Linked DNA regions of Kluyveromyces lactis. The main gene of each other region encodes a partner of the protein of the gene in region 2 in a complex. Links are inferred from orthologs where the notes say so. Each region holds a gene or a part of one and is shown on either strand. Other genes may lie near its edges.

Region 1 (9,502 bases), on a different chromosome or scaffold from region 2:
CGTAAACTAAACGAGCAATATATTCTTTGGGCATCTTAGGCAATTGCTTTTGAAAGATATTCTTTAACCCTGTTAAAACCATCATATTTTCCTTGCTATTATCATTATTAACCACTCTGAATTCAATCTTTCCTTCCTTCTCTTCTATTACACTAGGTCTGTCTTTATAACTGTATTCTTGACCATCAAAGTCAAATTTTGTTGTGCCGGCCTCTTCATCAACGACCTCATTTTCAACTATAGGAGATGTATCCGTCTTTTCATTTGCTTCTTCCTCTAATTGTTTCTCTTCAGCCTTGGTAGTTGTACTACTGGCATTGTAGTCATTGACTGGTGATTCAACGACCTCTTCATTCGTTGTAACTGATTCGATTTTGTCTTCCACTGTTTTTACGGATTCCCCCGCAACTTTTGTTTCAGAAGTTCCGTTCTGTGCATCTATAGGTCCGTCCTCTTCCTTCTGGTCTTCCTTCTGGTCTTCCTTGCTCGTCTTGTGTTCTAAATCATCGGTAACATCTTCATCAACTGCAGATCCGCCATCGATTTCAGTTTCCACAGGCTCATCTTTGGGTTTGATTTCCTCTTTTACAGTGTCAACTTTTCCCCTCTTATTCTGGACTCTTCCAGCACCATGGTGGCGTCTCTTCGGTGGCATTTGGTGCTTAGCTTCTTGTCTACGTGTGACTATTTATCTTGTCTACGTGTGACTATTTATCCTGTCTACTCGACCTAATATATATTCCCGTTCTTGTATGCTTTGGTAATTTTTCAAGTTGATTTATACATCCGTACACCACAGTCGGATAACGAGTTTAGTCTACATCTAAAACATGCCTGGTATAAGCTGATGGATCACGGAAAAAGGCCCAGTTATGTAGGTGTACCAAGCCCGTCATGGCGTAATACGCTGCAAATTGTGCAAGACTTATATTTATCTTGGGAATTATAAAACTAAATTTCATCCTGACCGTTAAATCAGAGATAAACACCTTTTCCTAACGACGAATATCGATTTCTACGCTTCATCACAAAAGGAATGCATGTCACATCATTCCACGCATCAGCCTGTCAGATGCACTGGCTATACTTCACTCTATTGACAATTCCTCGTCGTCATCAAAGGAAATATCTTCTTGAATTGCCAATTCAGCCTCCTCTTGCACCTTCGACAGTCCACTTAATTGCTCCACACACTTATAATCATCTAGCGCCTGTTTCACGAAATTCCATCCGTTTTCCTTTAGAGTTAAAATGACATTTTCATTGCTTGCACAACAGTGCTGATATGCCGGTGTTTCAAGTTTTACAGTTTTAAATTCATTTAGAAATCCTCGTATTTGATGCGGAGCTGACCCAAGCACGTTCGTCGAAGGCTGAAGATATGTCACCAATAATTCAACAGCCTGGGAAGCCGCTAATAGGGCAACACCCGGTCTAGTTACAGTACACATCTGATCTAATGTTCTGTCAGTTAGAGAATCACTTGGGGCCACGATATCGTTACAGAAATAGCAACCCAGGTTGTCATTATTGTTGCCATGTCTCATTACCAAATAACTGTCAAAACCAAGGGCCGCATTAATAACTATTTTTTCATGCATTCGTCCAAGCACCGAGGGAAGCCATCTCGTCTCGCGTGCATCCATTAAAAGAAATATAACATCATGCGTCCTTATAAGCTCGTCCAAAATTTCATAATCCTTCCTCTGCTTGCTTTCGTTCGATACAGGATGTCCTATCATTGGTATTTCCAATTGATAACCTGCAGAAACGACAGAAGGAAATATCTTCTTCAGAGAGTCACTGGCAGCTTCGGCCTTTGGTCGCCCACAATCTTCAAAGTTGAATAATGGTTGCCTTACCGGATTAGAGAAAGAGACAGTGCTGTTGTCGACAAAAGTTACATGACGAGTACCCCAAGCTAATAAAGCTCTAGCCACGTAGCAACCTAGGGTACCTGACCCCAAGATCAATGCTTTAATGTTCTTTATTCTTTCTAGATCAATGTCAGGAGCAATCCTCCATTTCATTAGCTTGAGATTGAGATCAATGGATTGTTCTGCTATCTTCACGGGATCCATCAATGAGCTTAAGTCAGCCGATTTCGGAGCTAATTTTCCAAGACCATTTTTCTCCCAACCGCTGACCTTAAGACATCCTGTATTGCTCCCGGTAACTCTGATCTCTGCCGCGAAGCTGGAATTATCATCACGAAGGAAACATATGGTGTACGTATTCCTTGTGGATATTTGACTCCAAACCGTTAGAAAGTTCTTAGTAACTGCGGCAGGAATGCCCTTCAGCCGACTGAAGTCCTTGAAGATGACTTTCTGACATACTTTGAGATACTGAGGTGATGCTTCCTGAATCTTTCCATCCACAACACAGGAGATAAAGCTGTTCTGCTCCCATATATCCTTCTTTACACCATCTTCGATTGATTTTGTTGAGATTATTTCGTACGATGACCCCTCAGACTGGAAAGTAGGCATACAAACCCAATAATAAAACTTATATTTCTTCAAATCGGCGAAGCTTATGACATAAAACCTAACACACTCTTTGAGACCATTCTTGAGGCCCTGTTCTAGTAATTGCTGTCCCTTTTCCTTGATAAACTTTACTTTGTCACAGGATTTGAATGATTCGATAGTATTAAAATTCAACACTGACCCTTTCAAAGTCACTGCCTCATTATTGAGAACAGGATCGAAACTGTCATCTCTAAGCGAGAGTGAAACAGTGTTAGAAGTGATATTTTCAAGGTCTAGTGCAGAGAACAATTCTTTCTCAGCAGAGTCTAACTTGAACACTTCAAGTTTTAATCTTGATAATTCATGGAAAAACGAGGTATCAACAAAAGACTTAAAAGCTGGTGAAAACTTAAGATCGTTAAGCATCTTTCCTGGTACTCAGGTTTTGTTCCATGAAGAAAGAATAGTACTTCTTGGTTTACTTTATTTATCTATGCACTGCAGTTAAGGGTATAGTGTATCAGGGTAGTATTACGAATCGACGTCTTTTTTACAAGAATGAACTAAACTCAGGAAAGCATTGTTACCCTGAAACATGCCAATTATTAATATTCACTAGTGTACACTATACAAGACGGCCATTGTATCATTGATCTAATGCAGATGATGAGTAAATTCAACTAACTTGCCTATCTCGTAAATATATATTGTAATTATTGTCCAAACAAGAAGAGACTAAACCAAATTCTATAGCATTTCTTCACCTTGTTGTTGATCTTCTAAAGTCATCTCATCCAACTCATCTAATAGTTCATCAATATCAATTTGTGGAGCATCTTCATCTTCATCTTCTTCCATCTCGCCTTCGTGCTCTGCTGGTTTGTTGCTCTTATATAGATTGATTGTTTGTCTCATTTCCTCATCTTCCTCCAATTCTTGTAGGAAAATCTCATAATCTCTTTCAGCACGTTCCATTTCTTGTTTCTGTTGTCTTGAAGTGTAGTCTTGAGAAGCTTCGATATCCTTGTGTTCCTTAGCCATTCTCTTCAACTTCCATTTTCTGTTCTTCTTTGTCTTTCTTTGATATAGTTTCTTGATTAGAACGATGTCTGGCACGTAATCAATATTTAAACCATCGAAGAGCTCTGAGTTATAGTTAGAGTTAGCGATAAAGTAACCCATGACACTGTCACCAGGATGAATAATACCACCAAGATGTGTTCTAACGTAATAGACTTGGTCATTGGAGCCTAGATCGGAAGATCTAGCGACAGTAACGTCAGCCAATACCCATTTGTTTCTAACTTGACCAGTAGGTTCAACGTCCAATATGATGAATTCAACTAGTTGGGACACTTCAGCTAATGCACTGAAAGGTTCACGCCAGTACATTGGAGCAGTCAAATCACACGTTTGAAGAGTGGTTGGATCCAGGAACTGGAGAGAGTTAGAAACCTTGGAACAGATGACAAATTGACTGATGTTACCCAAAGACTTGGCAAGCTTCTTAGGTAAAACAACCAAATCATCTCTACAAATTGGAACAATTTCCACGGAAAAAGTGAATTTGTAAGTAGATGAACCGGTATGGATATCTTGAGAGATTAACTCCTCGGATTTTTTACATTTGATAGGTACGACAGCATTTAAGAAATCCAACATCTTAGCAGCATGGTTCTTTTGAGAATAGAAGAAATCTAAACCATCCTTTGCCTCACTAATGGAAATGGTGTCAACATGGGCATTGTGCTTCAAAATCAACTGTTCTAAATACAAGAAAGTTCTCTTATGAGGAACTTTTTGTCTAATTTGGACGTTTGCTCTCCATGTATTAGTGGTATAAGATCTAGCACAGTCCGGACATTGCATGGCAATCACCACATATTCCACTTCAAATGTTTGCTGGATAATAGTGTTAGCCATAGCTTCACCTTGAACGGTCAATTTGACCCGGATACGTCTAGAATGAGGTTCGGTCCAGATAAATGATGCATCCACTAATCGAACTTTGTTTAAGCCTTTCAAACGACGTAAACACAACGCCAAAAGTTCACGAGATTCCAAAGAAGCCCTAATCCATTGGCTTGGTGGTTGCAAGAACCTCTCACAGTTTCTACAGAAAGAAACATTAGCCTCTCTGGGAATACCTTCTGTAATATCGACATTCAACTTAATACAGTCGTAACACATAACTAGCCCTGAGGACCCATCCATAGGCACACCACAACTGCAACATAGCACTGTAGCATGCTGATGTTGCATGTGATTCTGATCTAACGGAGTGTAATTCATCGAGTTCGGTGGATACTTCTGCCCTTGCTGGAATACCTATAATGCAGACATTAATCAGCTTTCAAGCACTATCAGACTGTGCAAGAACAAGATGCGATGAGATGAGCTTTCTCAAAATTTTTCTTAAAAGAGACTGCGAACCCTCAAGAAAAAGAAATTTTGCACGTGACTTTGAACCTTGGATTTATGCATCTATGCATATTAAGCTAGTCTATATACAGGAGAATTACACTTTATAAAGAATGATTAACACGTTCAACGTTTGGATTTCTTTCCAGCAAATAGCAAGCCAAATTGTTTCTTGGAATGTTTTTGTACTTTAGGTTCCATATCTTCTTCATCCGAGGAAGAGTCGGAATGCGATGAAGTCGATTTGGTATAATATTGGTTTTTACTGTGGTCTTTCGAAACATTTGTGCCTCTCGGAAGCTCGTTACGTATCTTCTGTCTTTCCTGATTCCTTATCTTATGTTTTAACGAAACCATAGCCTGGGAGTCGTCTTTCCTCACTCTGTGTATACTGTTTCTCTGTTGCACGTCCTTGGTAGCTCTTTTCTTTTTGGCTAAAGAGCTGACCTTCTTATCACTTTTGATGAACTCTCCAATGGTATGTATATCGGTATCATCAGTACTTTGCGCGTTCTCAAATGATAAACCGCTTCCTATTTGAATGACAGGCAACTGGAAAAATTCCTTCTTTGATTCGTTGCTATCCTCCTTTGCTAGATCATTAGATGACGTCTTAGAATCCTCTATCCATCCGAGCACCTTAGCAGTGGAACTGCTAAACCCATTTTGAAATTTAGCAAGTAGTGCTTGCTTTTCTTTTATCTCCTGAGCTCTTGACATGGCTTGGTGAGTCTGTATTACTTGTTAGATTGTAAGAGTATACCTTTATGGCGGCCGATGCATCTCATCTGGTTCGATCTCATCGCTTCAAAGAATAAGTTACCATTTTTTTTTCAGTGATTACTCTCTAAGGAAGAATCAGAATTCACGTGACTGATTTTTAAATGGAATATGTGGATAGGTCTATCAACTATGTGAGTTTATGTACGTCTATGAGTCTTTTCTTTGGATTCATTCTTTCTCTTTTGGAGTTTCCTTCTTTCACCAAAACCTTCTTTATCCATGGCCATGAGACTTTCTCTTTTTGCTGCTGTAACCTTAGTTAACGACTTCCTAATCACGGCTGTATCACCTACATCGGTGAACTCTTCCATCTTTTTATTAATCCTTTCCTCAATTGCCTCTACTCTTTGAATATCCTTTTCTGTTACAAAACATAGTGATTCACCATGGCGTCCGGCACGCGCTGTACGACCAGCTCTATGAATGAAAGTATCTGGGTTGCCAGGAATATCATAGTTTACAACAAGTTCAACAATAGGGATATCCAAACCTCTAGAAGCGACATCAGTAGCGATAAGAACTCTCGCAGCTTGTGCCCTGAATCTTTGTACAGAGTTCGTTCTTTCTTGTTGTGGCATTTGACTATGAAGTGACGTGACTCTTACATCTAAAGATTTCAAAGTTCTTCTTAAGATTTCAGCCGTTACGGTACGATTAACGAAAATAATGCAACTTGATTTGACGTATTTCTCACTGGTCAATATCTGGTATAAGTATGACTCTTTAACGTGCTCTGGGACTAGCAAATATGTCGTCTCTAATGTCTTCGGAATGGCGACGTTATCAACAGACTCAACCTCAAAAGTAAACACAGGAGGTTTGCCCTCCGTCTGTGGAGCGTCTGATAAAGCTTTCACTTGGTCTGTCATAGTAGCAGTGAAAAGGAGATTCTGTCTTTTGTTTTTCGGTGGTAAAATACTTACACATGTAGCAAGGTCCTTACTGAACGTTTCCGTCAATAATATATCGGCTTCATCTAGTACCAGAAATTTTACTCTTTTTAGCCCTCCAATGGTATCTTCCCCGCTATTCAGGACATGGTGTGCTAATCTACCTGGTGTGGCTATTATGAAATGTGGTCGTTTCTGTAATTCGATAGCTTGTTGCACTATGCTCTCACCACCAACTACTATTGCGACTCTGATGTTCATAGCACTTCCAAATGCTGTGAACTGCTCTGCGATCTGCATCGCAAGTTCTCTGGTAGGTGTTAAGACGATCCCAAACATACCTTGAGGGTCCTCGGACCATTTGGTCAACATCGGAGCTGCAAAAGCAATAGTCTTACCACTACCGGTGTTGGCACCACCTATACAGTCACGCCCTTTCAAAATCTCAGGAATACAAGCCTTTTGAATCGCAGTGGGCTGCACGATTTTCATCGCATTTAATGCTTCCACTAACCATTTTGAACATCCTAAGGACTTGAACTCAGAATTAGACATCTCTTAATATAGATATTATAGTTCTTAGGTACTCTTGGCGAGGTTTATATACAAGTTACTCCTACTAACCACAGCCTTTAGGTCAAAGCACATCTCATCGCATCTGTATAGAAATTTTACATGTTAAAGACTCTTTCCGTTTTCTTTTTTCATTCAAATATGCACCAATATGGGATTTTGGGGGCCCAAAATATTGGATTTCGGAACAATATTCGAACATCGGAACTTAGAAAAAGAAGTAGAGCATGACGTCCAGTAAGGATGTGCCGCTTATTCGTGTTATATCTACAGTTTACCAGCACATTGTGCCATTTTATGCAGGAGTACATCAATATTTTCTCCTTTGAGAGCACTTATTGGTACGACATCCCAGTTGTTTTCTTGGCATTGGGCTTGGATTTTCTGATACTTCTTAAATGTAGATTTCTCATCGATATCAGCTTTATTACAAACCACTAGAATATTCTTCAATGATACAACCTCTTTGCCACCCACTTCTTCAATAAGTATTTGTAAATCTTGAGATGGATCATCCTTTTCAAGACTGATCACGAAAACCCAACCTTTGGAACGTTCAATGTGTCTTAAAAATTCAAGACCCATTCCCTTGTCCTGAGAGGCATCTTTAATAATTCCCGGAATATCTGCAACTGTGAACTTCGGTTTGTCAATCCCAAGTGAGATTGTTCCAATCGTTGGGTGTAACGTAGTGAATTCCCAATGGCCTACTCTAGGAGTAGCATTAGAAATCTGGTTTAAAATAGTAGATTTCCCGGCATTTGGTAGTCCAACAAGTCCCAGATCAGCAATACTTTTCAATTCAAACATAAAATGTTGTTGAAGTCCACTCCTACCCTCTTTACAAAATCTTGGGTTTCTGATCAAGCTGGTTAAGAAATGCATATTACCTAGACCCCCTTTACCACCCTTTAGCAAACAGATTGGTTTCTCAGTTGGTTTACTCAAATCCAATCCATATAATGGGAATCTATCAGATTCAAGCTCCGTTTGTAGTAAGTTATGATCATATTCTGTTACATTTTTGGAAAGGTCTTGAAACCAGTCTTTTGATAAATGATATTCTTCATCTTTACCCTTAAAGATCCAACCTTTTCCAGGTTCGTAAGATTCTCTGAACATTTGAATACGGTTTGGTTTCTGATCCATGTAAAATCTGCCTGTACAATTCAAGATGATATTGGAAGTGTCCAATATGGTTCTCAATGATCCTCCTCCCTGTTCTTTAATTTTCTGGTCTACATGCTCTCTCACAACTTTGGGATCCAAGCACCATGTTACCACCGTCCCGACCGGAACTGTAATCATTACATCTTTACCTTTCGATCCATCTGCCTGAGCAGAAGTACCATTAGAACCATTATCTGCGATATATGTAGTCTGAAGTTTTGAGAGACTGTTAATTCCTTCTATGGCCTGAACGTACACAGACCCACCACCGCCCCCGTCTCCTCCATCTGGAGGACCAATGGCGCGCCCTCTATCTCTAAAAAACGAAATACATCCGTCACCGCCATTACCTGAAGCACACTTGATGATTCTCAAGTCAACAAAGTTCGACTGTTGAACTCGTATGTTCTTATTCTTTTGTAGGTATGATAGCTTGGTGAAGTTTGACAATGGCGATTTGATTTCGATGTATTGCGTATCTGGCGGCGTCGATATAATATTGAATGTAATCTTATTCCTTAATCCCTTCATTGGTTGAACAGAAGTCTTCTTCTCTTCCTTTATTGACAAGTTCTGAGTTGATTCGACGGCTGCTGTTGGAGCCTTTTGCTTAGATCGGCTGCTCGCTAGCTCTTGCAGCCATATCTCATTATCAATAGCGCCAGGTGCATTATCTGGTACATCTGAAAAAAACCTGCAGCGGTTGACTCTTGATATCCTTCTAAATATTGGCCGCCCTAACATCACTATAGCTCCGGTTCTTATTGACTTTCTACGGGTATCCATTTGTTCCTTTACCTGGTTGCATGTGTCAATTAACTTAAGTCGTATCTCATCGTCAACTCATCTTTATTTTGTTGAGTTTAAATAATGAACGTCAATATGTGATAATTTCTGACAATCAGCATATCGAACACAAACAACGCCATAAGCTAAATATAAGTACACCTGGCACTCTGTTGTCCGCTCATTATTTATTGCTATTGCTACATATTCTATTATACTATTAACGTCATCAATTTATAGATCCCTGGATACATTATTCCATTTGGTAATCAGTCGACTCTACGGTCAACAGCTCTTTGATGTTCTCTGCCTTCTGTACCAATTTCTTTAAAGAAGTTGGAGAGTCACCAAATAGTGAGTTTTCAATGTGGGTCCATCTCTGAGACCATTCAGAAACCTCTTTTG
Region 2 (13,734 bases):
TTTAAAATGAAAAAAAGTTGAACTTTGCCAACAGGAAACTCATTTAATTTATATGCAATCACATAAAGTGACGAAGAAGCAGATCTAAATAACAAAATAGACGTCGATCCTTCTTCTTTTTACGGGCTTGGTTAACTCTGGGGTGGTAATTCATCTTTGCAAACATTATACTTTTTTTCTTTCCTTTTGCTGCCCAAATATACGGATATCAAGCACTGAAATTAGTGGTGCACACTCTGCTTTACATTTATTTCATATCATCATAATTCGGTCCCAAATTATTTATTGAGTGCCCTGCAAATTCATTTCTGTGCTGATCGGCATCAATTATTTATTTCCCATTCAACTAATCATCCAGTGAAGCTATTATTCATTGTGACTTAGCATTTTTTTTCTCTCTCATCTGGTTTTAGTATCAAATAACGATTCTTCATTTTGCATGAAAACCCTTTGTCTTCTTTTGAAAGCTTCATTTTATTTCCAAAGTTTTATGTCATTTTATTCTCGGTTTTAAGTTTTATTCGTTTGAAAAGTTCTTTGCATATACCAATCCCATCTTATATCATTATGCCTGGTCAATTGGTAAACGTCCCATTTTTTTCTCAAGTTGAGGATATGGATACCTACCTATTGAAATACCGTACTTTGAAACAGGCTTCTCAGCAGCAACAAAACCATCCATACCAAGCTGCACACAGATATAACCAACAGGTGAAATCTAATAATGGACATTACTCGAGCTACACTAATTCACAACATCAGAATCAGCACCAACAACACAATAATAATCGCAAGAAATATAATAATGGCACAACATTTACCCAGAACAATAACTACAACACAGCGTACCGTCAACAAGGTAATGCAATTAAGTACAACCAACAGTACCAACAATCAGTAACCAGCATGTACAACAAATCAGTGCATCAACAGACGTATTCTTCTGGCTATTATGCGGGTTACAATTCGACATCCAATAGCAGTTACTCTAATAGCAATATCGGCAATGCCAATTTCAATGCTCATTTGAATGATACTAATAATGGGAATGATAATGGATACAGTAATATCACTCCAACTGATGGCAACAGCGCACACAATAGCAACTTGTCTCTGAATCAACTAAATGGAAATGTTAACAATATGTCCCAGCTTCCAGCTTCTCATATACCATTCAGTCCTACTTCAAGTGTCACACCTCCTCCAATTACCCCTTCTCGCTTGTCATCTACTCTAAGTTCGGTGTCAGTTGGTTCTTCTGTAAGTAACGATATGGATCTCATGGTGCCTATGGACATGAACAATAATCGTTCCATTGGACAGCAACAAAATCGTTTCTTATCACAACAACATCAGAGTTTACAGTCTTTACCTCAACAGTATCAGCAACCACTGCATTCGCAGCCATTCCACATGCAACAGCAATCTTTTCCAACTTTTGGTAGTAATTTTATCGAACAGTCTTTCTCTCAAGGTCATGACTTTATGAACCCTTTAACACCTTCGTCATCATCAGTTACTGAAAATAATGATCCACAACTACCTTATGGAGGGGGGTTATACTCTTCAAGTTCGTTATCTTCGACTTTCATGCTCTCTGAACCAACTTCGACTTGGAATAACGACTCTTCTGCCCAACCAACTACTTCTTCTGTTTCCATCTGGAATTCTGACATGAGCGTTTGGAGTTAAAGAATTTCAACGTTTCGAAATTTATGCGATATTCCACTAATGCAACTACACAACCCATGAGTAGTTTCATCTTTCCGAAAAACTGTACATTGTAAGTTCGGTTCCCCTCTAATTATAGCCTGAAGTTTCTATTTCTTCATTTCTTCCAAACCTGGATTTTGTTTATTGTTGCAATTACCTTAAGAAGGTGACTGCCTAATTTTTCTTTTCAATGGTATGGGTACCCTAATATTTTTATTCAGTATTTGTAGAATGGTTCTACACACTTGGTATACAAGGTTTATAGTAAGGAAATTTTATAAATGGTATATACTTTCATATTAGTCAGGTAGTTAAAAGGTATTTCGGTGAATTATCCTTTGAATAATCTTAAAATAGTTTTGGATCGTAGTATGTTCATTATGAACTTATCTATTCTGTATTTACATGGATGATAGTGTGGACATGTTAGCGAAGGAATGTAATCACGGTTCAACACCAAGAAGTCTTTTGAAAGTAATTTCGAATTCTTGAGCTTGTATTCTACCTTGAGATATCCTCATGGCCTGACCGACAAGGAACTTAATAGAATTTTTCTTCTTACCAGATTTAATATCTTCAATCATTTTGTTATTGTTGAGTTCGGTAATTATACTTTCACAAATTAATTCGAGCTCTTCCGAACCAACATCTGAGACTGCATGTAGCTCAAATTCCTCAATTAGAGCATTGAAATTTATTGGCTCAGAAGCCACAAAAGAGTTCTCCTTAAAGGAATTCAAAATATGCGATAATAAAAGCTTACCACTGGCGTTGCTGATGGTTTTCTTAGAGATTAGCAAGAGTAATTCAGCAAATTTCTCCGGAGGTAGAATATGGGAAACTTTGATGAGAGGAATTTCCATCTTGTTTAGGTTTCCCAAAAGTTCATGAATTATCCAATTTGCAGGTAGTTTTCTCACGAACTCTTCGTTTTGTTTCTTGCATAATGAGTGATATGCATCAAATGTACTAAAATAGCATGCTCTTAATTCATCATGGGAATACAAATCATCATGGCCATTACTATTGATTGTGAGAATTTTTGCATCTTTTAAAGTTAGACCGTAGGGCTCTTGCATTAACATCATACAGGTATCGTCTGGTAACGTTGGAATTGTCTTTTCTACTCCTTCAACTATTTCATTGGTTAAAAGAATATTTGGTAGTTCTGGATCCGGCATATACCTGTAGTCTATGATACTTTCCTTAGTTCTGAGTTTAACAGTTTCCGAACCTGTCCATCCCCTAGTTTCTGTGTGTTTGAGTTGGTCACCTTCGCCTTTTTCTATCATGTTAACTTGTCTATTGTATTCGTATTTGATAGCATTAGTGATTGAGCTAGTATTTGGTAAATTCTTCAACTCTACTCTGGCGTAATCATTAATAGAAAGATTTACATCAACCCTCATCGCGCCCGTTTCAAGGTCACCTGTAGATATCTTCAAATGTCTGACAAGGTTTTGATATTTCTTGATGAAAGCTCTTATCTGTTTTAGGTCTGTAAAATCGGGTTCAGTCACCATTTCGATCAATGGCACATTCGAACGATTTAAGTCGATTTTTGTATTGGAGTCAGTAGAGTTATATACAGATTTACCTGTATCCTGTTCTATCTGTAACTGAATGACAGATATGTCTTTGAAAGCCTCTTCAATAGAGTCTAAATCTTTGTACAATCGTAGTTTACCTTTACTTGAGAAAGGATTGTAATGTTGTGTGATTTGATAGCCCAATGGTTGATCACCATAGAAGTAATGTTTTCTGTCAAAATGTGAGTTTAGACTGACCTTGCATCGTAATGCTAGCGATAACTTCAATGCAAATAGAACTGCCTGCAAGTTGAGTATTGGTTGTGTTCCGGGTATCGAAACATCGAAATACGATGTATGATAGTTTGGCTTATCCACATCTGCAAACGGGCTGTTAGTTGACATTGAAAAAAGCTTATTGTCTGTATTCAGTTGAGTATGGATTTCAAGTCCGCATTTTAACTTATACTCAGGAAGAATTTTGAATTTGGAACCAGTATTCCTCTTAGCATAGTTCCTTCTAAACACCAACATTTCTGGTTATTTATAGCTTATCACTCAGTAGTATAACACCCACTAGAAATTCAAAAACAGCTAATAAGCAGTTGGTAAAATCACTAACACACAGCGCCTAAAAGCCGTTCTTTTGTCAAGTATGTTTGTCTTTATATTCATGTTCATTGCTTCTGTTAATTCAAATTTCATGTTTTTTACCCGAACCTTAGAAAATGTGCCATAAGCACGATGACAGATTTATTTAACTGACGATTGAAAGTGACATAACTTGTGCACACAGTGTATTTGGATAGTTTGAGCTTTGTTTGCCTTATTCTGTTTTATACATTTTTCATAAATATTATACACCGTTTCAGAATTATCTTGGTTTTCGAACAGCCATAATTATTGTTTCTAACTAGTTCCTTTTATCGGTGTGGAATAGAATAGAGTTTCTGTTCAAAGATTTCTTTCCGTCCGTAACCTTTTTCTTAACAGATCTACAGTGATCCAAACTATCTGGTAGTGATATTTGATCAACTTCGTCTTCGTAATAGTTACAATCTGAAATTTTCTGCTTAAACAACAGTTGGCAATCAATATCTTCATCAAAAGCACACGACTTAGCACGGAATTTTAATTTGGAGCTGGGTATCATTTTAGAAAGAGGTTCGATGTTTTCAATATGCACAGTTGCCTTTTCCGGTCCAACTGGTTCAATTTGTTGGTTATTGCACTCTGGTACTTCATTCATTGGGTTTAATATATAGAATGGCTTAACTGATTCAGGCAAGTTGGTAAAATCATCAATTGAAAACGCCTGTGAAAAATACCAATTTGGGTCCAACTTTTGGTACACTGACGGAATATAGCTAGCAGTTCGAAGGTTACCTTTTTGAGACCAGCTCAAGTTTGGTAAGCATTCCAATTCAAACAAAAAATTAGTTCTACACTTCGTCAAATCTTCATCTGAATAGTGAGCGTCTTTGATGAAATAATCACGATTTTGAATGCTTAATCTTCTTTCAAGGTCCTTAAAATTATCTTGTAATTCTTCTAACTTTAAAGAAGTCAAAACTTCTTGCTTTTTCGTATCTAACACAGTGTCCGTCTCTATATTGGTGGACAGCCTTTTGCGTTGTGGAGATTGTTTTTCGAGATGTAAGTTCAAAACCCCTGTAAGGCTGCTGCTAGCTGATTGAGGGCTTTCGTTTAAGTAAGGTATTTCAATCGGAATATTCTCCTTATTCAAATCTTCCAATAGGATATTTTTTTTTAAGCACATCCTTTTCGCCGGCTGGGTATTAACATCTTGGTTATCCAATGGGATCTTTCTTCTAAGCTTTCCGACCATTTTTGCCTTCTGTTTGAGCGAACGCTTTTCTATAGGAAAATTGCCGGGTAGTACTTTTCAAAGCAGGAGATTTAATTGATAATTTACTTAATTTTGAACTTATAATCAGGACCCAAGGTTTCTGGTATCATCTTTTATATTCCATTACCTATAGTACCAATTTATTGACATTTTGTCACAAAAGTGTCAAAATAAATGAACATGATAAAGTACCCATAGTTGCTAATACTAATATATATCGTCACGTATCACATGAAAACATACACTGGATGTTTCTTATGGGTGAAATCAAGAAACTGAATGCTTTGCAACTAGAATAAAGTTGATCTGTCGAACTGTAATGGTATTGTTGGCCTTTATGAGTTCACTATCATGTTCCAGTTTAGATCACCAGTTCCGGGTAATCATTTTCAAATTTTTTTCTTTGGTTCTCTGAATAAACAAATAAAGATGATGTTCTAAATCTACCTTGCAGAACCAGGTCTAACAGTTATGTTTCTCTAAGGGCACTTTGTCCAATTGGTTAACTGATTGCTCAGCATAAAATTTTGCTTTACTGTATCTGTGTACTTGTCTTTTTTGAATTTCGGAAATAGGGTATAGACTTGAGCTAACAGTGTATCGGCAAGACAGGACAGATGTCAATATATTCTACGCCGTTGAAAAGCAATTGGAATGGCAATGCAAACTTTGCCAACCCGTCTGCCAATGTCAACGGGCTACCGATGAATGGAATTGGCAATACCTCTTTGGTGCCTCAACAACAAGGATCAGACGGTACTATAGGAACGTACGGTGCTAATATGACAAACGTAATTTCAGGTTTAAACGGCAACACAGTAAACCCACTGAACTTTAATGCTTCACATGAGCATATTAAGGTAACGGGTCTTGGTGCTGCAAATCCTCTGAATCTTGCCTCTCAATACATTGATCATTTGTTGCGTCGTGACATTAGTACCCCGGTACTGGATGAAAGATCGTACTACAATAATGGGGTTAACTACAATTTTTCCAAGGAAGTTGGTGGATTAGGCCCATTTACTCCGTTTGAAAGACTTAATGTGATTAACATACCAGATGAAATTTTGCAGCAAGTATCTACTGCTGAAATCAAAACAAATATGGGTTTATTTCCCGATATTGAACGTTGTTGGATCACTGTTGATAGCAAGTTGATCCTCTGGCATTATAATAACCCTTCAGATTTCCAATCAATAGATGACATCAAGCATACCATATTACAAGTTGCCCTAGTGAAACCGAAACCTGATACATTCGTGGAATCAATCAACCACTTGTTATTGATAACAACTCCTTTTGACATATACATACTCGCAATTTCTTATGACAGAATCAGCGGCTCGTTCAATATCTTCAACACAGGGATGAGCGTTTCTGTTCATGGATTGGATGTACATGAAATCGTTTATTATGAGAAAACAGGACAAATCTTCTTTTCTGGTAACAGCAATGGGACCAACATTTGGGAACTTCAATATTCATCTTCAGAAGATTGGTTTAACAATAAATGCAGCAAACTTTGTTTGACACAGTCTGCTCTTTTGAGTTTACTCCCCACAAATATTTTCTCCAAGATTCCAGGCTCGGCACTTGTACAATCTTTATTTGAAGAAGATTCAAAGTATGCACAAGAATACATTACACATTTGACTGTAGACCAATCGCGTGGTATTTTGTACTCATTATCATCAAAATCAGTCATCCGAGCTTATAAGATTAATGGTAAATCCTTAGATGGACCAACTACAATCGAACCCTCTTATATTAAACGTATCATGGGAACGACTCCGGCTAGAGGAGCTGCTATCTTGGGTAACAAATATTTGAAAATAGTTAAAGTAGAGGTGGTTTCGAAAGAAGAGAATAACAATTTATTTTTGGTAGCTATCACAATTGGCGGTGTTAGGTTATATTTCAATGGTTCTGTTAATTCTGGTAGCGTAGAAGCTTTAAGATTAGAATCCATCAAGTTCCCACCAAGTTCTGTCAGTCCAGAAACCATAGAAATTGAGTTACAACAGCAGCAGCAGCAACAAACTAGAAAACTTACACCCTTCTATTCTTCCCTCAACAGTATGGAATCTGTACAGTTGAAATACCAGAAAAAATCGTCAGTGTTACTTGAAAGCTCGAAAGCTTCGTCAATTATTTCACCTGGCATTTTCTTTTCTGCTGTTACAAAACATCCAGCGGAACAAACATTGGGAACTATGGGAACACCTGTAGCAACTGTTCAAAACACTCCAATACAACATAAGCTCTTTGTCAGTGTACCAGATTATGGTATTTTGAAGAATCACGGTCGCTACGTCGAAAATTCTGTATTTTTGGATACCACCGCCCCAGTAAGAGAAGTTATCCCCATATCCTCTTTGTTCAACGGTGCCAATAAGCCAGAGGGCTATGCCAATGCTTTTGCAACTCAGTACAGTGTAGAACCATTGAAGGTTGCCGTTTTAACAAATACATCTGTGGAAATCTATAAATACCGTAACCCAGACCAGATCTTGGAGTCCTTAATTAACAACCCGCTGCCCTTCATTGTAAATTATGGGTTAGTCGAAACCTGCTCATCTGCTTTATTTGTCACTTGTAAATTCAATAAGTCAGAGTCTTTGAGATCCAATGCGTTAACTCTTTTCACTGTAGGTATACCTAATGTTGTGGAAATCAAACCAACATACAACAAATACGCGAACAGTGCGGTATCAACACTACTAGGTAAACCATCACTGAATTTGATGACCCCACAAAAAAGCTCTACTGAATTAAGCAAAACTGCCAATACTCTTTCGACACCAAATGTATCTGGTGCAAATAATTTCAACCTTGATGATGTCATCTTGTCCGCTAGATTCTACGGTACCGCTCTGTTGATTGCCAGATTATTTAGAGACATATGGGATAAAGATATTTTCCAACTCGATCCCCATGTAAAAATTAATCCGGATAATTCAGTGATGAAGAGTTCAATTAAAGGTGATAATATTATTACAAAAATCGTTGTATCAAGAGGTGATATCGAATATTATCTATCCTCAGTAATGATTTTAAACGAGTTCTTCCAATCATATGGTAATTCAATTACAACAATCACTAATATTTCTCCAATTAATGGAGAAAAGGTGGTGGATAAAGGAGAAGATGTTGCGCATCAGGCAGAAAATGTTGCTATGAACGCAGTTATCAAACTCCTTCAATCCATAAAGGAGTCACTTTCATTTTTGAACGTACTATTCGAAGAGAGTGAAGTAGATGGTTACGAAGGGCAATACTTAGCATTTGTTGACATTATGAAGTACTTGAATTTCGATATTCAATACGACTTAAGCAAGTTGAAATTCAAGGATATTTTCAATCCCAATGAACAAACCAAAAATTTAATAAGAGAGATTCTCTCCTCAATCATCAACAGAAGTATTACAAAAGGTGGATCTATTGAATACATCGCTACTGCACTTCAAGAACGCTGTGGATCGTTTTGTTCCACCGGTGATGTTCTTGGCTTTAGAGCTGTCGAGCACTTGAGAAAAGCAAAAGAAATAGGACTCAGAGATCAAGAAACACTCAACTATCACCTAACCAATGCAGCAAAGTTATTTGAAAGAATAGTTGATGATGTGTCTTTAGATAAGATAAAAGAGGCTGTAGGTATCATGTTGGAACTTAATTACTACCCAAAAACCGTCGAATTTTTGTTGAATATTGCCAATGCGATGGACAAGGGTAAATTGGCACTTCAATATGTTGCAGATGGATCTTTGGAACACGATGAAAGGAAAAAATACTACAATGCTAGAGTTTCGATCTATGAAATTGTGTTCGAAACTTTAATCAAAGTTGACCAACTAGCTGCTCTGCCTGAAAATGTTAACAATCAAGATATTCAAAAAACCCGCGATGAGGTTTACAACGTTACTTTAAAATATAACGACAAATTATTCCATTATCAAATGTATGATTGGTTGGTACAGCAAAAGTCTGAAGAAAAGCTTCTTCAGCTAGACTCAGATTTTATTCTACCATACTTAGAAGAAAAAGCAGCGAAATCCCTAGAAATTTCCAATCTTCTTTGGGTTTACCAATCCAAAAGATCGCATTTCTTGGAAGCAGCTCAAATTCTGTATTCATTAGCTATTTCGGATTTCGATATTCCTCTACAAAACAGAATTGAGTACTTGTCAAGAGCTAACGTTTTCTGTAATGGAGTCTCTCCGCCAAGCCAAAGGCAAGCCATGATTCAATTATCTGGCATGATAAAAGAAGTTGTCGATGTAGCAAGCATTCAAGATGAAATTGTCCGTGCTCTCAAGGATGACCTCAGGATTGATTCGACTGTCAGAAATGAAGCCTTGCAACAACTTGAAGGCAAAATTTTGACCGTGACTGAACTTTATAATGACTTTGCCGCACCATTGAGTTATTATGAAATTTGTCTGCTCATTTTCAAAGTCAGTGACTTTAGAAATCATGAGGAAATCATATCGAAATGGGAAGAGCTTTTCAGTTCTTTCAAGGAACATTTATCAGAGAACAATGCTACGGATGAACTGGAAAAAAGCACTACTTTCATTAGTCTAGCATCATCAACAGTGATTCGTGTTGGTAAGAATGTACGTACCAGTGAATTTGTGTTCCCAGTTGTTGATTTATTCCCACACATCTGTAGCCTAATATATGAGAACCTTCCAAAAGAACACATCAAAGCAGGTTCAATTGCATCTATTTTCATCCAAGCTGGCGTCTCATACGACCGAATGTACCATGTTCTCAAAGATTTAATTGAAACAACTACCAGCTCCAACGATATTTACGAACAAGAGATGGTTTGGCTGATTAAAGAATGGTATCACTCTGACAGAAAATTGAGAGATTTGATACCACTAGAAGAAATTCGTTCCTTCGACAAGTATTCAATTGAAAATGACCCATTGGAAAATTACAAAAAGCGCACAGGTGATAGTGTGTTTTGAGTTACTCTAACCTTTCAGCGAGATGGTAAAAAAAAGAACAGCTTTAGTTTAAAACGTCTGTTGTGGTGTTTATTTCCCTTTGTATACTATATTGATAAATAACATTTTCACCCCAATCTTAATAAACAAAACAACTAATATCAATATTGCTTTCTTATGATGTTGCGATAAGTCTTTGGTTATGGAAAGAATATATTAAACCGAATTTCGACCTGCAATCTGCTGAAGAGGTATATAAAATTGTATATTTATGAAGAACCTCTTTCGAAGTGAAAAAAAAAAGCCTAGAGATTTCATTATGGAACGGCAACATATGACTTCATCAGCAGGTATTATAAGCAACGCTTTGTCCAGATCTAGGGAACTGTTGCAGCTAGAAATATGAGAATAGGATAAATAGAAGGGAAAACATATCAGAAAGATTTCAAATACTGCTTCGGTATATATCTAGAGCAAAAGGTGTGGAAGAATAGAAAATAATAGCATCGTAGACATTCGACAATGCATTTCATCTTATCATCACTTCAATATTGTTATTCAGGTTCTTTCTTTTAGATCATCTTTTCAACAATATCTGGTTCAAAATTGTGCATTAGTTACTTGTTTTGCATCAAGCAGAACAACCTAATGGAATCATAAAAGAAAACTTAAAGGGAAGAAAGTTTAACTTAATCTCATTCCTCAGAAAACAGGGCATCGTCACCAAAAGTGTTTTCACTCGAATAGGATACATAAAGGAACCCGTCCTTATCCTTGTGTTGTTGGTAAATAGAAGACATTAAAGCTGCTGTTGGAGGTAAAGTATCATTGACAAAGATGAAAATAGCCTTTTCAGCAGGTAGCTTGATTCTCTTTCTAATTACATAAACAAATTGGCCAACAGTCAAATCTCCTGGCACCAAATATTTGCGTTTATCAATGTCTGGAATATCCGATTTGCCACCTCTTTCACAGATCACTGGAATACGGTTATGGAACTTTTGCACTATCCTTTCAGATTCAGCCTTTCTCTTTTCAAATGGGAACTCAGATTTGAATGCAGATTTCATTGCGTTTTAAAACTCTCTCCTATAATACGTAACACCGATAAAAATAATCAAACTCTCTTGAAATATTCTCCTGTCTCTATTTCAAACTAATAACCCGAAAAGATGTTTGTAACTTAACTTTCAAAAGTCTAGCTGATTTGTTCCAACTCTTGAATCGTGTTGTGTCTCTTTTTATCCGTCTTTCTGGTTCTTTCTCTCTCTCAAGAAAAAAACTTGCACGTAATAGCACTGTACTGCACTTTTCTTGCAAAACTCAAACAGATTACTGGGTAGCTAAGAAAAACGCTCTTTGTTTAGTTATCGATGATATGCGCCGCTTTGATCTTCGCGTGTGTTCCCTTTTTATACCCTTTCTGCTGTTTGGAAAATGACAAAACAAAAGTGTTCCCCCCTTAAACGGTTTGAGATGCCGTTGACCCTTAAGTCACGTGGGAAAGACAGAAAATGAATCACGTGATATCCGGGTAACAATACTATGTACGTATATATGTGTGGAAGCTGCTGCTCTATATGCTAAAGCCAGATAAGGTTTCCTCGAGCTCCTGTTGTTCTTGCTCCATCAAGGATTCGTACTCTTCCTGCAGTTCTATCAGCCGTATCAGCTCTTCATCCTCATTTAGCTGTTTTGGCTCCCTCTTTGTGGAAATATTATTCAACATAGCGGGTTCATCGGCACTATTCACGACCTCTCCTTCATCTTCTACCAGTCTATCAATCTCATCTGGCGGTATCTCGTGTTTCTGTGCTTCTTGTTGCATGTCTTGCAAGTGTCGTAGGTATTCTTGTTCCATGACGAATTGTTCCATGTCGTTTCTGTAGCTATTGATCTTCTTCTCTCTTGCCAGTTCCCGTAGTCTGCCCTTCCTTCTTTCTCTCATAAGGTCTCTAATGGGGGACGATGATGATAACGGTTGCTTGTACCTTTGATATTTGAGCTTTCGCTCTTCCAATATTTCATCAGTGATATTAGAATCGGCTCTTCCATCGTTACTTTGGACATTGTCAAGATCGGAATCGCTATCTTCTTCGTGATATCTGCCATGAACCGGACTGCTCGGTATACAGTTCATGTAGAGCTTCAAAGTTGTGGATTAACGTCTGCAATACACCGGACGGCCTGCTCCAGGCTTCTTTCCCCAGCGTACATAGAAATAACCTTAATCCTTTTGGCGTTTAATGATGCTGGTCTAGAGATATGGTTTTTTGTTCGATTAACTTCATAAACTGAAAACGCCTTAGAATTACATATACACATTATATTCGAAATAAGATATGAGATCGACTGTTGCTAGAGAATCAGCAGAGGTGATCTACGGAGCCAATAATTGCAATTAAATTAATTAAATGTGGTGAATTTATAAGTAGTACGGACGGGTTTCGTTTCACTAGAGAAACGTAACTGCTATACATTTTTTCCCACTTTATATACATTTCAACATCTATAATTTGAAAATCTTCAACTTGAAGATGGTATCGTTGATAGATAGTTCTTCATCAGCAAGTGGATTGGTTTCTGATCCTTCAGCCTTCAGGATTTCAGACCTACATGTCTTAGTCAACATGTCATGATGATCTTTGACGATATTCTCAAAGTCAATGGTATCTTTAACTAATTCATACTTGACAATGACATCATCTGTGGCTTCAAGACCACACTTCTTTCTCAGCTTTTGAACTCTGTTGATCAATTCTCTAGCAAGACCTTCAGTTTTTAGCTCATCGTAGATCTTGGTATCTAGAATGATCAAGACATCGTTATCAGTTCTGGTTTCTTGTCCGTCTTGAACAGCAGATTCAGGAAGCCCTCTAATGGCACTTAGATCACCTTTTACCAATTGAATACCTGCTACTTCAATTTCACCGGTAGACAAGTAATCCTTGACTTGGGCAGAAGTTAGAGTTGGTAGAACGTCTTTGACCTTCTTGGCATCCTTCTTCAACTTCTTACCTAATACTGGCCAGTCAGCAACTGCTCTGTATTCCACACCGTATTTTTCCTCCTCGGAAGTGATGATGATGTCGCGGACGTTCAATTCTTCAACAATGTACTTTTTCAATGCTTCGATGTCCTTTAGGTAATCTGGATTGGAATGTAGAATGACCAAGGTCTTTAATGGAGTCTTCAAAGAAATAGTCTTCTTTTCACGAATATTTCTACCAAGGTCGATAACAGATTGCATTCTCTTAACTGCTTTTTCAATATCTTCATCGTAAAGATCTTCGTTGACTTCTGGATAGCTCAAGAAGTGGACGGATCTAGAATCCTTACTGTATTGAGCCAATACTTCCTCTGGAATGAATGGTCTCAACTTGGAGTAAATGTTATCCGATAAGAATGGAGTGAATGGAGCCATAGCACGGACAAATGTGAACAATGCATCAAATAAAGTGTTCAAAGCCTTCAAACAGTCTTCGACACCACCTTCACCCTTCAAACGACGACGATTGAATCTGATATACCAATTTGTCAATTCATCAATAAAATCTAGTAGTCTTGGAACCACTGTATAAAGTTTGTAGGTGCTCATTTCTTGATGAATGTAAGCTACCAAAGACTGTAGAGAGGCAAGAATCCATCTATCCATGACATTATCCGA

Evidence for each region.
Region 1: the proteins of ATG8 (region 2) and ATG7 are in contact, whole or in part, in a crystal structure (PDB 3RUI), measured with the Saccharomyces cerevisiae proteins. The link is inferred for Kluyveromyces lactis from reciprocal best matches to the Saccharomyces cerevisiae genes ATG8 and ATG7. Residues at the interface, in NP_009475.1 of Saccharomyces cerevisiae: Arg28, Glu37, Lys38, Lys46, Tyr49, Leu50, Pro52, Leu55, Gly58, Gln59, Val61, Tyr62, Val63, Arg65, Lys66, Arg67, Pro72, Glu73, Lys74, Ala75, Ile76, Phe77, Phe79, Asp82, Thr83, Leu84, Pro86, Thr87, Ala88, Glu112; in NP_012041.1 of Saccharomyces cerevisiae: Gly333, Thr334, Leu335, Leu436, Val437, Asp438, Ser439, Arg440, Arg443, Ala460, Ala461, Leu462, Gly463, Asp465, Ser466, Tyr467, Leu468, Tyr486, Cys488, His489, Asp490, Val491, Val492, Ala493, Thr495, Asp496, Ser497, Asp500, Met506, Thr510.

Annotation. Positions count from the first base shown.
Region 1 is NC_006037.1:456,352-465,853, forward strand, and holds ATG7 (Atg7p), read right to left. Parts: upstream 2,901-9,502; coding exon 1,089-2,900; downstream 1-1,088. Other genes in the region: histone acetyltransferase GCN5, read right to left, coding at 1-655; ribosome-binding protein NMD3, read right to left, coding at 3,222-4,766; NOP19 (Nop19p), read right to left, coding at 5,022-5,615; ATP-dependent RNA helicase DBP8, read right to left, coding at 5,816-7,123; putative GTPase MTG2, read right to left, coding at 7,409-9,097; THP2 (Thp2p), read right to left, coding at 9,351-9,502. UniProt on the Saccharomyces cerevisiae protein: E1-like activating enzyme involved in the 2 ubiquitin-like systems required for cytoplasm to vacuole transport (Cvt) and autophagy. Activates ATG12 for its conjugation with ATG5 and ATG8 for its conjugation with phosphatidylethanolamine.
Region 2 is NC_006041.1:1,827,100-1,840,833, reverse strand, and holds ATG8 (ubiquitin-like protein ATG8), read right to left. Parts: upstream 11,138-13,734; coding exon 10,763-11,137; downstream 1-10,762. Other genes in the region: KLLA0_E20681g (uncharacterized protein), read left to right, coding at 568-1,692; glutamyl-tRNA(Gln) amidotransferase subunit PET112, read right to left, coding at 2,157-3,776; KLLA0_E20637g (uncharacterized protein), read right to left, coding at 4,156-5,091; NUP170 (Nup170p), read left to right, coding at 5,730-10,088; RTT105 (Rtt105p), read right to left, coding at 11,644-12,207; isoleucine--tRNA ligase ILS1, read right to left, coding at 12,577-13,734.